Drosophila melanogaster: one gene and its partners. The protein of the gene in region 2 interacts with the protein of the main gene of each other region in a pairwise test. Each region holds a gene or a part of one and is shown on either strand. Other genes may lie near its edges.

Region 1 (4,890 bases), on a different chromosome or scaffold from region 2:
GTGCTAAGCTTGGGAGAGGTAATGAAAATAATGACAACTTCTCTTTTGGTTTGCCTTTCGTTTAAAACTTAATCAGGTTATCAAGTAAGCGTAACTACAACCTACAATTGGAAATTTTATATGTTTTTGCAATAATAAACATCAGATTGTTGGTTATACTTTAAGGTTTCCATCAGCTTAATAATCAATTTAATTTAAGCAGCTCGAGCAATGACATAGATTTTAAAATTGGTTAATTTGAGAGAGTATTAGATGATAGGCTTCTACTTTTATTTGAGGTGTTTAACGCGTTCTGTCATAGCAACGCTTCGAAAGCTAATATAAAGGCAATTAAGAGTGTCTGGAGAAACTTCACGTAATCTGCGGGATCTCAAGTTATTAAAAATATGTTGTAATGAAGGGAATGTAGTTTTTAAGAGACCACAGAAGTCGTTTTTTTTTTTTATTTCGCACACATTTCGTACAATGTATGCAAACGAATCGCAAAGGAAATATCAAATCGCTTGAGGCTTTAAGAAAACCACATTCACAACAGTTTCCACAGTCTGTGATCCAGGCATGTCATTTGACATTTCACCAAAAAAAAAAAAACGAAAAAAAAGAAGAGAATAACAACAAAAACACAAAGAAAGCAAAATATAACCAAAGCAAATAAAATAAAATATTTTGCGAAGAAGCCGAACAAAAAATGAAGACAGACTTTGTTGTCCTTGTCAGCGTGGCTACAACTTCCTTGGCCCAGGACGACGTCGGAAGTGCCAGCGGAAATGAGTAAAAAACCTACAACTCACTCAAAATTCCCGCTCACTCCCATCTCACTCGCACTCGAACAATGGGAAATTCCGTTTCGAGTGAAATTTTGTGCCACAAACGAACGCACTTCGGCTGCTTTCGGCCATCGCCTCGTATTCCCACTCACTCGACATTGAGCGTTTGTGGAGCATCCTCAGAGATGCCAAATATTTTGGGGGGGAAAAAAAGCTGAAAATAATTATTTTCCAATTTCTTAAGGTTCGCATGAAACCCGTATACTTGCATCATTGTTTAACGTTTTGGTGAAATGTTGTGATAAAATGAGTTTAAGTTTTAAAATAAATCGCACTATTTTTTGGCTCTTTACCATATCAAAATGTATATACTAAAATGAGCTTGAAAGTGGGCGGCGAAAATATGTTGATGTTAAGAAATGCATCTGGATATCGAGCAGACGTTTCCCATAATTTATTTTTATTAAGTTTTTATTTCTTAATCTCTATAGAAAAGCAAGATATTATAGATCACTGTCAGTTTTCATATTCACATCCGTAAATCTAATAGGAAACAATTTTTGTTTAAAAGAAATAATTAAAAGCTAAGATCCGTCATAAATAGTACTGTCAATTTGAGAGGCTAGAAAAATAAGATAATACATATCAGCTTATAATTTTTAAATTTCTTTTCGGGAAATTAATTTTTAAGCGTGGGAAATGGACAAAAATTGCTAGATTCTCGCAAGTATTTTATTTTATGGTGTGATATTCTTCTAAAATTAGATATTTTTATTAATACGTATTTTTTTTTTTAACAAGTGGAATCCAATTAGTTTGTTTTATTATGTTAATGATTGTTAGTATTAAAAAAAAAACTTCTATAGATATTGGGCAAACAACTCAATCAATTTTAGGTAGTAACATAATAAAGTAATAAATACGAATACAATTCTTTTTGGTTGATAGAAAAGAATAAGACAGTGAGCGGCTGGAAAAACTAGCCAGAGTTGTCGGGAAAGCCGGCTAAGTAAGCAGCACTGGCGGGTCGACAACAGCAGTGGCAGCATCCGCCGTGGCAGCGGCAACAGTCGAGCGGCAGACTCGATGCAGCAGAGCCACAAATTCCGGCATTACGTATACGCCCAGTCTACGTCGAGTTGGCCACGTGTACGGACACGCGGCGCGGTTCGCTTTCTCCGGTGACAGCACATTCGATATTAACGTTTCACTACCAAAAAAAAAAAAACATCGCGATTGGTTGCTAATAGACAAGCACCAGAGATACGATTTTAAAATCTTAAGGTTTTGCTTTTGTTCAAAAGAAATACAAATTTTTTTGTTTGGTTGTTTGTGTGACAGTGACAGTGCCAGTGTGAAAGTGTGTGTGTGTGAAAAGCTTGCCGGCTTGAAAAATGCGCGCCAAAAATTGAGATATTTTCGCGGAGCGCAGCGGCAACAAAAACAAATAAAAACAACATTTCGCAACGCAGCCAAAGGAGGCGACAACACGCAAATAGTAATATATACATATATATATAAATTAAACATATGCACATATACATATATATATTAGATGGCAGCTTTGCAATGTAAACAAATTATATTTCCGTGTTTTCTTAAAATAACAAATCTATTTGCCGATATTTACCAATTAATTAGTGGGCTAGTGACAATATTAAGTTGCAAAGGATAACAATTATAAAATAAATACGTATACTGCTGCATTCCGCATAATAGGCAATAAATATGTTTGCGAATATATTAATCAAATCAAGGCATTATGGCTGTGGTAGCTGAATGAAATTTGCATAAATCAAGCTTCAATGATCCAGAGGGCACATTAGTCTCTTTTAGCCTGTAGTTGTAAAAGTTGTTCGGTTTTAGCCAACAAAATGGAAATGAAAAGGCAAAAAGTGGATGTGTCATAAAAATTCCTTTTGCACAGAAGGCGTCCATTATGCGGATTCTAAAGCAATATTAAAATAATCTCTAGTAATTTCCTAGTAAGTGCCCACTTAAATGAGTTTTTCTTTTTTATTAGTGCGCTTTAAGTCTTTGATTTTATTTTAATGCGTCTTGGGATATATTTATACATATTATTAATTGTTAATTTGTTCAGCAGTTTTAGATCGAATATACTTGCGATTAAACATTTCTAAACATTTTGAAAAGTGTTCGATTTTTTGTTGTTTTTATTATTTATCTCATATAAGCTACAATATATGTTGAAAGATTTCGAATGAATGTTTAATTTAAACTATTTTGTCGCATTCGTTTGGAAACTTCGACCGTATTTTCTATGTATCCCGTATAGATAAGTTTGGGGCCACTTAGCGAATTGGCGGACATATTTTTAGACATAGCCCAAATAGTAAAAAAACAAGAGCAGAACGAGTAAGCGAAGAGGGGAAAATTGTATAAAAACCAAAGACACGAACGCAGAGGCTATAGAGAATTGGTGAAAAATGAGAGAAATTCATTAATAAAAGACAGCAACAAAAACAAGAGCAAAAATTAAACGGCTGCCATCAGGCTTTCCCACTTCTCTCACCAATTTTCCCTTTCGTTTTCCCGCTTTTCCTTGTCCACGGCACAGCTGTGATCACACGAAGAGAAAGAAAAAACAGAAGAAAATTCGGAAAAAAATGAAAATAAAAATTATTACATATGCGTAATGGGTATTTTGTGTTGTTGCTGCTGTTATTGAAGAAGATTTTCCAAGCTACAACTACAACAATTCCGTTAGCGCCAACTTTGACGAAGGTTTTCCATCGGCTTTTCTTTAAATACCCTCGCGAATACGCAGTGTATGGATTAGGGATTGATGAACTATGCTATTAGGTTAAATAAAAATATACTCCGCAAAACAATAATAATCATTTGGGCTTGCAAAACTGAATGCAATCTTTATTTATTGCATTAGTAGATTGAATAAATTAATTGTTTACGGGGTATTGTGTTGGTTGTTAATTGTCCATTAACTTAATTTCCCAGTGTTTTCTCTGTTTTGTTGCCGTCTCAATGAATTCACTAGACTTCCAATCGTCCCATCTCTTTCGCATGCTGTGCAGCCATCTCTCTCTATCGGTGGCTGACAAAGTTTTGCATTATGTTCATCTCGTCTGTCGCTCTTCTATATCCCATTCCCACATATGTGGCTCAAGGCTATCTTATACACGCACTTTCAGCGCCCTCGTCGATTTCTTAGTTTTTCTTCTCATTTTCCATTCATTTTTGCTGCTCCCATTTCGGTTTTCTTAAATTTTTTCAGCATGTTGCCCTCATAAATTTGGGCGAGGCAAACAAAATTTTTGTGGTAAACTTTTATTCACGAGGGTTTTTTTTATTTTTGAAGGGAAACTTCGATGGTAATTAATGGCATGTTGACCAGCTGGTCAAATAGGGAAAAGGATTATTCCTGCCTTTTAAGGACTAAAGTAAAGGATGAGTTCTTACTCCAAAAGAAAGCTTAAATCATATTATTTTCTTCTTCTGTGTATTCTTATTTTGTTCAAGAAGAATGTATCCAGCATTCAACAATTACAAATCAATGTTTAATAGCAATATTTATTTGTACTCCGTATTTTCTGAGTGTGATTATATTGTTGTTCAGATTTTCTCCATTGATTTTAATTCAACCATTTCGTTTTTGTGATCCTTTTAATTTTCTTAGCCATGTTGTAATTTCCCTTCTAGTTTTTCCACATTGGACTCCATTTAGTTTTATCTCTCTGCAGCTGTGCTGAGATTAAATTTTGTTCAATTTTTGTAACCATTTATTTCAATAAAATTAAGCCAAAAGTTTTTACAGTTAAGCCCAAACTTCCTTTGGCGATTTCGGTTAGCTTAACTGCTTTCCGCCTCCTTTGACCACCCATTTCCTTTGTGTCCCGAGCAACAGGTCCTCTCTCATTTGCTGGGATTTCTTCTTATTTATTATTTGTGTCTGTCCACAGTGTTTTCATTTCTTTCCCCGTATTATTTTTGGCCGCAAAAAAGTCTGATCTTAAAGCCTTTTTGCATTGTGCGGCGATTTTCGCAGCAATTTCCCGTGGAATGTGAAACTAATTGCAGCTGGACTTGGGTGGTTGGAAAACGCAATGGCATACAACTAATCAGAACGGAAAAAGAGCAGAAAAGC
Region 2 (4,908 bases):
CCGCTTGCGAATCCAACAAGTGCGAGTGAAGGAAGTGTAAGTGTCTTGGCCAGTTTCTTGGCGATTTGTTGTTTGTGGTTCGTTGTTTGTTGTTTGTGCTGGCCTCCTGCCAAAAAGTTTTCAAAAAAAAAAAAAAAAACGGCTCCGCGAAGAGCCGGTTTCGAGCCACAGGGCTCGATTGTGTGATTCATGGCTCCGAAAACTTGACCGTTGACTCAGCATCCCCGAATATCAAAGACAGATTTAAGCAATTAAACCGCATTGGTATAAAAAGCAAAAGTGTTAACCGCAAGTTATTGTGTAACTAACCGTTGTCACCGTTGTCATTAAAACATAAAAACGAAAGATCGCCGAGATGCGGTCTTTAAACTTAATTACGCCCGTATCTCGGTATTTCGTATCTTAATCGCCTGACCGAAATGCGTAATAAAAAACCGCAAGAACAGTGTTTTTTGTTAGTGATTTTGATTGAATTGCGCTAGATTCTTTATTATCATTTTTGCCACTCAACATGATTTAATTAAAAAGCCGAAATGTTTTTTGTCGGCATAGTTAGGTGGCGGGTTGGTTTATTATTATTTGTTTACTTGTTTGCTGTTCTTGTTTAACCCGCCTGAGCTTTTTATGCCACCCGCTATGTGATGTGATGTAGACACAAATACGCGCGGCATAAAACATCCAAATATTATATTATATTATACATATTTATCTACATAGTCGTCCATGTTTTCCTGTCCATTTTTTTTTTGTTTTTTGGTGGATTGGTGGATTGTTTGCCTCGATTCGATTCAATTCGTTTCGTTTCATTTCGCTGCTTGATTGAGCACATCAGCGCTGGCAAAAACATATTTGCGTTTATTTTTGTAAGCTTTGCGCTATGGCTACATTTTAACATATTAATGCTTTATGGCTCACTTTTCATGCACTGGAAATTCAATTTAGGGAAATTTCATTTTAGCGAGAGTATGTTTTTGGACCTGCGATCTTTAAAAGAAGCATGCATTGGGTATGAGGGATGTGTGACCCCGACGGAATGATTAATTGTTTATTGAGAAATGGATAATGGATCGGATGGATCATAGCTCGGATGGAGTCACCACCGCTGATTCACGCACTTAGGATCTTTTGTGACCCAAATTCCCCAGATTATTCGGGGTTGTTGTTCCCATTTAGCTGCACACTTTGTTGTGGTTTTGAGGAAAACAGATCACGGGAAATAGTTCAGCACCTGCACTTGCTTTCAACTTCAAAGAGATGTGCCAAATGTGCGTTTCATACGCATAGTACATTCATGACAAGAAACAATAATATGAGATCATTGAAACTTTATGTATATCTAAAGTATAGATAATGAAATTATCCTACTTAAGGATTTATTTTTTGGGCAATTGTACTTGAGCCCTTCAGCAAATTGTTTATCCCATTTAACTAGATGTAATTATAGGATTACTATAAGTTACAGCCCCGAAACGGACTGATTGCACATGGGCATTTGGCTGGCTGCGCCGTTAAAAGCTTGGCTATGAAAACAAAATACAAACAATTAGCCAAATAACAAAAAGAATAGCCCGCACCAGGAACAACAACAAAACAGTGGGCCACAAAAGCCAGACAGACATTGGCAGCCGTTGCCGTCGCCGTCGTCTGGCGTTTTGTAGCTTTGCGGCTCTGCCGTCGTATCGGTTGGGAATTGAGAACCGACAATGTCTATATAGATGCTATATAGCCAGACTGTGCCACTGCCACTGCCTCTCGCACGGCCCAAAAGCAGCGACGCCGGCAGCGACGACGACTGCGACGGCAGCGATGTGGTTGAAAAGATTTTTGTATTCGAAAACGGCACAAAATGCACATAAAAATTTTCGGTTTCGGTTTTTGCTTTAGTTGAGAGAAAATCGTCGCTTAGTTAACGTCGCCCAAGAACTGAACTGGCAGTGCACCACAAACGTCACGAATATACGAAACCGAGATCCAAGTCCAAATCAGTAAAAATCAAATCAAATCGAAACCGTATCGAATCGAATCTAATCGAATCCCAGCAGAAAGCCACCCGATCGGAATAAATCGGTCAGTACCAGGTCGCATGTGAAATCAGACATTCGGTTAAGTAGAAATCAGCTGGTTATACAATAGCCTGCCGCAATCGATTCGCCAGGATCGCTGATGAATCAGAATCAATATCAGAGACAGTCACCGCCCCTCTCCCTCACCATTCGTCCACTAAATAGTGACTTGTGTGCATTTTGTGAAGGTTAACAACAAGTAAAGTCCCTTACGAAACCGAAGACTCAGCGCGAATAATATAGGCGATTGGTAAATAATTTTCTTGGCACGCCGATCCAGGGAATTTCTTTTGACGCATATATCACATTTGTTGGCCAGAGCACAGATACAGAGATACAGATACGTTGTAGATCTTCGGCTCGTTGAAATTGAATAAAATTATATAGTCAAAAAGCGAGAAAATTTTTAGAAACTTTTCAAGGTGAGTTTATTTATAGCTCCTCGAAATGGCTGCGCGGATTGGATTTGTTTCCGAATACTCTCGCTCAGTCAGTCAGTCAGCGCCGTTCGCCAGCAGCCATCCGCCAGATACAATATCTGCCAGATACAGATACACAAATTGCGAAAGTGCTGCGAATGTGGCGGCCACCACCTCCTGCGCCTCCTTTCTATGCTCGAATTGCTGCGGTTTGGCGCCACAAATTCTGAGACATTTTCAAAACGTTTTGAGCGCTATATAGACTATATATCGGCGACAGCATAAAGCATCGCATATTAATGAAGCCAGACCAGCTCTCTAGGTCGCCTCCTCGAAAAGTGTCTTTCGTTATCTTGGCAATTTTCGTTTGCGATTTTCGTGGCTGCTCTTCGGATTTCCTCTTCGCCTGATCTATTTTCAGCGATTTTCAGCAATCGCTCTCTCCTTTTCTCTCTGCCTACCTCGCCAGCTCTCGCTCACTCTCACTGCCGCTGACATCACGTATACGCAGTGGTTGCTCTCCATTTCCATTTGCCATTTCCAATTCCTGCCAGGCCACCAGCAGTCTGCCTGTGATGTAATTTAGCCATGACCAAAACTTGTTGATACTCGCCCTGTTCTTGTGTCCGTTTATCTTCTGGCTTTCTTTTAGCCTGGGTTCAGTGAACCCCAACAAAACGACGAAATCGATTAATCACCCACCTTGTTATCTAGCGATTAAACTAATGTTTGGTCACCTCACCAATAATAGCTGTAAAGCAATCGCCACTTCGACCGAATCAATCTTACAACGCCTCACAACATCCGTGAATCAATGCCCGATAAGATAGTGGTTCTATAAACTTGAATGAGCTAATAGCCATTGCCACTGACCACTTTTTCGATGAATGAAATGTCTTTGTTTACACTGGGGTTTATCAGTCCAGGGCGGAATTAATTACGCAGAGGATGATGGGTGCACTAGAAAATACACCGAAAACAAAGAGCTGACTGTTCGTTTAATTATTTAAGTCGAGTTCTTTTAGTAAACAGAATTGTATCTAAATTTTTTCTCACTGCTGAAAAATACTAGCAAATTCCTTCTCGGCCGGGAATCGTAAATTAAGGCCGTCGTGGAAATGTAGCTGAGCTCATTAGAATGGCACTTCTCGTGCACATCCTATTCCTATCCTATCCCATTCCGTTCCTGGGTGCGTGACAATATTTCATGGCTTGGCTTCACTTGACTCGGATTCGTGCACATATTGCAACCATCGCGGGGGACTGAGCGATGGGGCAAAAAAGGGGAGACATGCTCTACAAATTTCAAACAGCTTTGCGTATATTTTAATTAGTTCGCTCTCTCATTGGCCGCTTTTGCTTTTTGCAAATTCTCTGCGGTCTCTACGATTGCCACCAAATCATTTCTCAAGAATTTAACCTTCGTGAACTGTCATGGTAGATTGCATTCTCTTTCCTTTTGCTGAGACAAGCACTTCTCTCGTATCTTTGTATCTTTGTTTATTCTTCAGGGTTCGTATGTCACTCAGAGCAAAAGAACAAAAAAAAAAAAAAAAAAAAAGGTGGCGAAACAACGCAAAACCCGACCGATGATAATGATTCAAGAATATTTAAACATACGTTAATGGAAGGTTCTTGCCTGGGAATGGTTGTAGGAGTAGATTGAGATATGACCCCTTTCGACCTTCTGATCTTGAATCTCATATGCTATATGCTATATGGCTTTTAAAAGAACTTCTATAATGAATTTTTAAATGCAGTGCTTGGCTATAGGAAAGAAGGTGTGCTATTTCAGCCAATGATATCATCTCAGCAAAGAAACAATTTCTTCAAATGTTTACTTCCCAATATATAGCATAAATAAATACATTTATTGCTATACAGACTGATACTATTAGCTCTCCTTATCGATTTACTAAGTTATAGTGCTCTGTTATTGCTCCCACTTAAAAAGCACTTGTGAGGTGTGCAACCCTGACCTTAACTTCTGCCAACAAGTTAATCACTTTCGCCTGGCCAACAACTGCGATGGCACACTTTCGCACAGATATGAAATCGCAAGTGGAGGAGGCGAGCGGAGTCGAGCGGAATTACACAATATTCGAGCGGCAATTTGACTAAAAGTAATCACGTATCCGACGCCTCGCAATTACATAACCGCAGTGCGTTGAAAATAAACGCCCACAGACGCGAAATCTTCGACGAAGAAGTGCAGACTCAACGCAACTCGAATTGTCTGAACCCTCCCCCCCATACCCCTTTTTTTTACTTTTTGCTAAATGGGTAATGGGTACCACTGCTGCCACTGCTCTTTCTGCACCACAAACGTGACTGGCAAACAATTTTTGGTTTCATCGCCGCGGCAAAAGCCACAGAAACCCATCGAGAGATTGCGATTGAGTCGGCACTTTGGGATAGGGTTTTAG
Region 3 (3,574 bases), on a different chromosome or scaffold from region 2:
CGGCGCCATTCTTTACAATAAAGGAAAGTTGATTTTCACAAATGGATCTGTTGGCTTATTTCCCTGAATGAAGTTTTAGATAAATGTGCCGGAAAACCGACGTAGCTGAGAAGTTTTGGAGTAGTTTAAAAAGAGACGCTCTGCTATTTGTTTTGCAAAGATTATTGATGTTTGATTACTGCCCGATTAGATTCTGTTTCAGATATAACTTATACTGCCATCTTCTCCATATTTTTGTTACTCTAAAAGTTAAAACCTTTAATTGACTTGCATTAGCTTGAAATAGAGTTTTCATTGAATTTGGACTTATAAAATGCTGTATTTGGCATCCATCCATTCAAATTAATAGTCAAATGATTGATTTAAGTTAAGCTTGTAACCAAAAATCCAAAAATAGCAGATTTAATACGTAATGGCTACTTACATGTATAATCGATCGTGTATTCCTACTATACAATCTTGATAAGCATCAACAGCAAACTTTCAAAGCTATTTAACTTTCCCAAAGAGTTTCATTTTGTAGGTAGAATAAACAGAACAGACCGATTTGAAAAACAGCCAATATTATTAGGATAACTAAAGAAACCAATATACGTCGGATTTCCCCTATTTATATACCCACTTTGGCAATAACGAATTAAAGGTATAAACGAATAAAGGTATTGTTGGGGATAAACTGATAGGTTAAGGAAGAGTAAGAAACGAGTATTTTTTTTGATAAGAAACAAAGTGAAATGCTTTATTTCACGATTATCTGTGTCGTTAATGGAAAAAGGCACATAGTTTACACATGTACATGAATTTGGGATATGTATGTTATTTTCATTATCTCAGAATAATATGAGATTGATTTTGTCATTTGCTCATCTGAACTGCGAGCAATACTTGTTTCACAGCACATGTTAATTTTAACAATTTGGCCGTGGAATTGTTTTTTTTGGTTATAATAACGAGTATAAGCCCCGATAAAATGTTTTGGTTTTTGTTCTTTGGCAGTGGGAGTAATTCTTGATGAACACGAACTACTGGCGCCTTGAGTATGGCCTCCTGTGCTCGTAGGGAGTGGGACGAAGATCCGCGCGAGCCTTGGCCTTCCGCGGCTTCTTCTCCTCCTCGTAATCCTCGCCAAAGTGACGACGTTTTTCCTGCTCGATGAAAGCCCTTCGCTGGGCGGGAAACAACCCATTGGGCTCTCTCACTATGTTGGCCCTGGAACAGTAGACCTGAGGATCGTAATCGGGCACACTCTCGTCGTCATCCCAGTTCTCCTCGGACTCGATCTTCGCGTGTCTGGTGTCTTCGCTGAGGACAGCAGGAGCGCTGGTCTGATAGTGTACTATAATGTTTCGATCCTCGCACGATTGGGTGTGTTGCTACGTATGCAGAAAGCTGGGCTTTAATAGGACATACAAGGTAACTACTACGTATATTCTGTACTCACAAAGAACTGGGGCTCTGGTATCAAATGGGAACTATTGAAGGGACAAACCATAAGTTCCACCGTGTCTTTGTAGATCACACGGCATTTTAAGATGTGCTGCTGGAGCTTCTTGCGCAGCATTTTGTGCTCCTTGTTGTACGGGCAATAAACCATATCGGATTCGTCGTAGTTATTCATCATGAAACAAAACCTAAGGTTTCGAGTTGCTTTTAAAATGTATTCGTAAAATACAAACAGTCCGGCAACGCTTTATCTACTTGTGTTACTATACCGATAATGAAATGCGATACTTTTCTTAGCCTATCGATAAGCGCAGTCAAAGTGCCCTGATATCGCAGCTGGAAAGTATTTATAAAAGTTGTATATTGGTTATTTGTTTGCAATTTGGTAGCGAAATTGCACAGCAGCAAGATGGGCAAGGGCTTCAACAACTACATGTGCAAGAAATTCTTCCACCCCGCCTCCAGGGACAACTTGAAAAGGGTAAGTGGCTCCGGGCTCCTGATGAAATATGTTCTTCCCCAGCAAAACGCCTAAAACTATAGGGATTACCTTCTGCAGGTCTGGATGGCGGAGCAGCAGGCGGAGGCGTACAAAAAGAAGCAGGAGGAGCTACGCAACCAGTATGAAAAGGAGCAGAATTTGCACGAGAACAAGGCAATGCTCAGCAAGGACAGCAAGGATAAGCTGAGCGTCAATTTCATGTACGAGCCACCGCCAGGAGTGCGAAAGGAGCGCGAAAAAGATGACAACGAGCCGGAGTACAAGTTCGAGTGGCAGCGAAAGTACAACGCTCCTAGAGAGTCGTACTGCAAGGGCGACACCGAGATCAGGGACCAGCCCTTCGGCATCCAGGTGAGAAATGTGCGTTGTCTCAAGTGCCACAAGTGGGGCCACATCAACACGGACAAGGAGTGCACCATGTACAGCATTTCCATGAGCGAGGCACGGAAACTGCACGCAGAAACAGAGGCCAGCGACATCATGGCCAAAAACGTGCTGGAGGAACAGATGAAGGAGGATGGCCTCATGATGAAGCGATCGGCACAGGAGCTGCAGAGCATAAGGGCCATTCAACAGCAACATCAACTGGTGCCCAGCGATGGCGAGAAGGACGCTCATGCCGATGACCAAAATCCCGAACTAGTTTTTCTCAAATCCCTGTCCAAGAAACAAAAGCTAAAGCTGTTGAAGAAACTGGAGAAGATTGAACGAATGAAGCGCAAAGGCGAGGGCATCAAGAAGCCCACAAAAAGGAAATCAAAAAAGGAAAGGCACGAAAAAGATAGCAAGAAAAAGAAATCCAAGAAGGACAAATCGAGCAGAAAAGACAAAAAGGGCTCAGTTAGCAATAGCTCAGACTCCTCTTCATCGTCGGACAGCAGCGACTCCGAGGACAATCACAAAAGCAATCACAGGGACGACAAAAGAAATGGACATCAAAGGACTAGGGACTCGGATCATAGCTACCAACGGCGGAGCAATGAAAATAGGCATCGGAGAGATCGATCCCGCTCCAGAGATCGCTCGCGATCGCTTAGCAGAGACCGAAGAAGGGAGAGGGAGCGCAGAGATCGGTCCAGGCGGTAGAATTAGTTTTGTAAAACCCACCAATAAATTTTTATCAATTTGTATCGTCATATTTAAAATTCTAATTTAATTTATATTTCATTTACACGATGAAGTATGGTGCTTTTTCGTTTTTGAGGAACCAACTAGTTTTTAAAATCATTCATTAGCTTTGCTATAATTATTTATTTTGCCAGCTTGTGATATACATATCTTAAAAAATTTATTGGGTATTAAGTGGTGCTTTTAAATTGCTCTAGATTCGGGCGAGTTGAGCAGTTGTCGAGGATCCGGCGGAGACGCAAAGTTCGGCGCCGTGGTTGCTTCCACCCTCCCGGGAAATGCTCTTCACGTGGATGTGGCTCTTGAGCATTGCAGCACGAAGAACAAGCATGCGGGTATGACGCTGGTACTGCTTGCCCATGATCAAAGCCCGCTCAAAGGTGCTGTTCCTTTGATCCGCCTCCTTGGCGAACAGGATCTTATTGTGGGAGTCAATACGCGCCTGGATCTGTCCGTCTAATATCAACTGCATCACCTCGTTCTCCAGATCGCCCACCGACG

The links. The genes of interacting proteins can lie anywhere in the genome.
Region 1: the proteins of Zasp52 (region 2) and Neto interact in a two-hybrid assay, tested with the Drosophila melanogaster proteins (one large-scale study listed by BioGRID).
Region 3: the proteins of Zasp52 (region 2) and CG6843 interact in a two-hybrid assay, tested with the Drosophila melanogaster proteins (one large-scale study listed by BioGRID).

Annotation. Positions count from the first base shown.
Region 1 is NC_004354.4:13,444,013-13,448,902, forward strand, and holds the start of Neto (neuropilin and tolloid-like), read left to right. Parts: upstream 1-1,890; 5' UTR 1,891-2,265; intron 2,266-4,890.
Region 2 is NT_033778.4:15,811,888-15,816,795, reverse strand, and holds the start of Zasp52 (Z band alternatively spliced PDZ-motif protein 52), read left to right. Parts: upstream 1-1,878; 5' UTR 1,879-2,067; intron 2,068-4,908. UniProt on the Drosophila melanogaster protein: Regulator of cell matrix adhesion having two related functions, one upstream of Actn organizing the Z line and the other downstream of integrins regulating assembly of integrin adhesion sites.
Region 3 is NT_037436.4:18,899,879-18,903,452, forward strand, and holds CG6843 (uncharacterized protein), read left to right. Parts: upstream 1-1,715; 5' UTR 1,716-1,852; coding exon 1,853-1,924; intron 1,925-2,002; coding exon 2,003-3,031; 3' UTR 3,032-3,074; downstream 3,075-3,574. Other genes in the region: arx (asterix), read right to left, coding at 1,023-1,373, 1,442-1,594; CSN1b (COP9 signalosome subunit 1b), read right to left, coding at 3,267-3,574.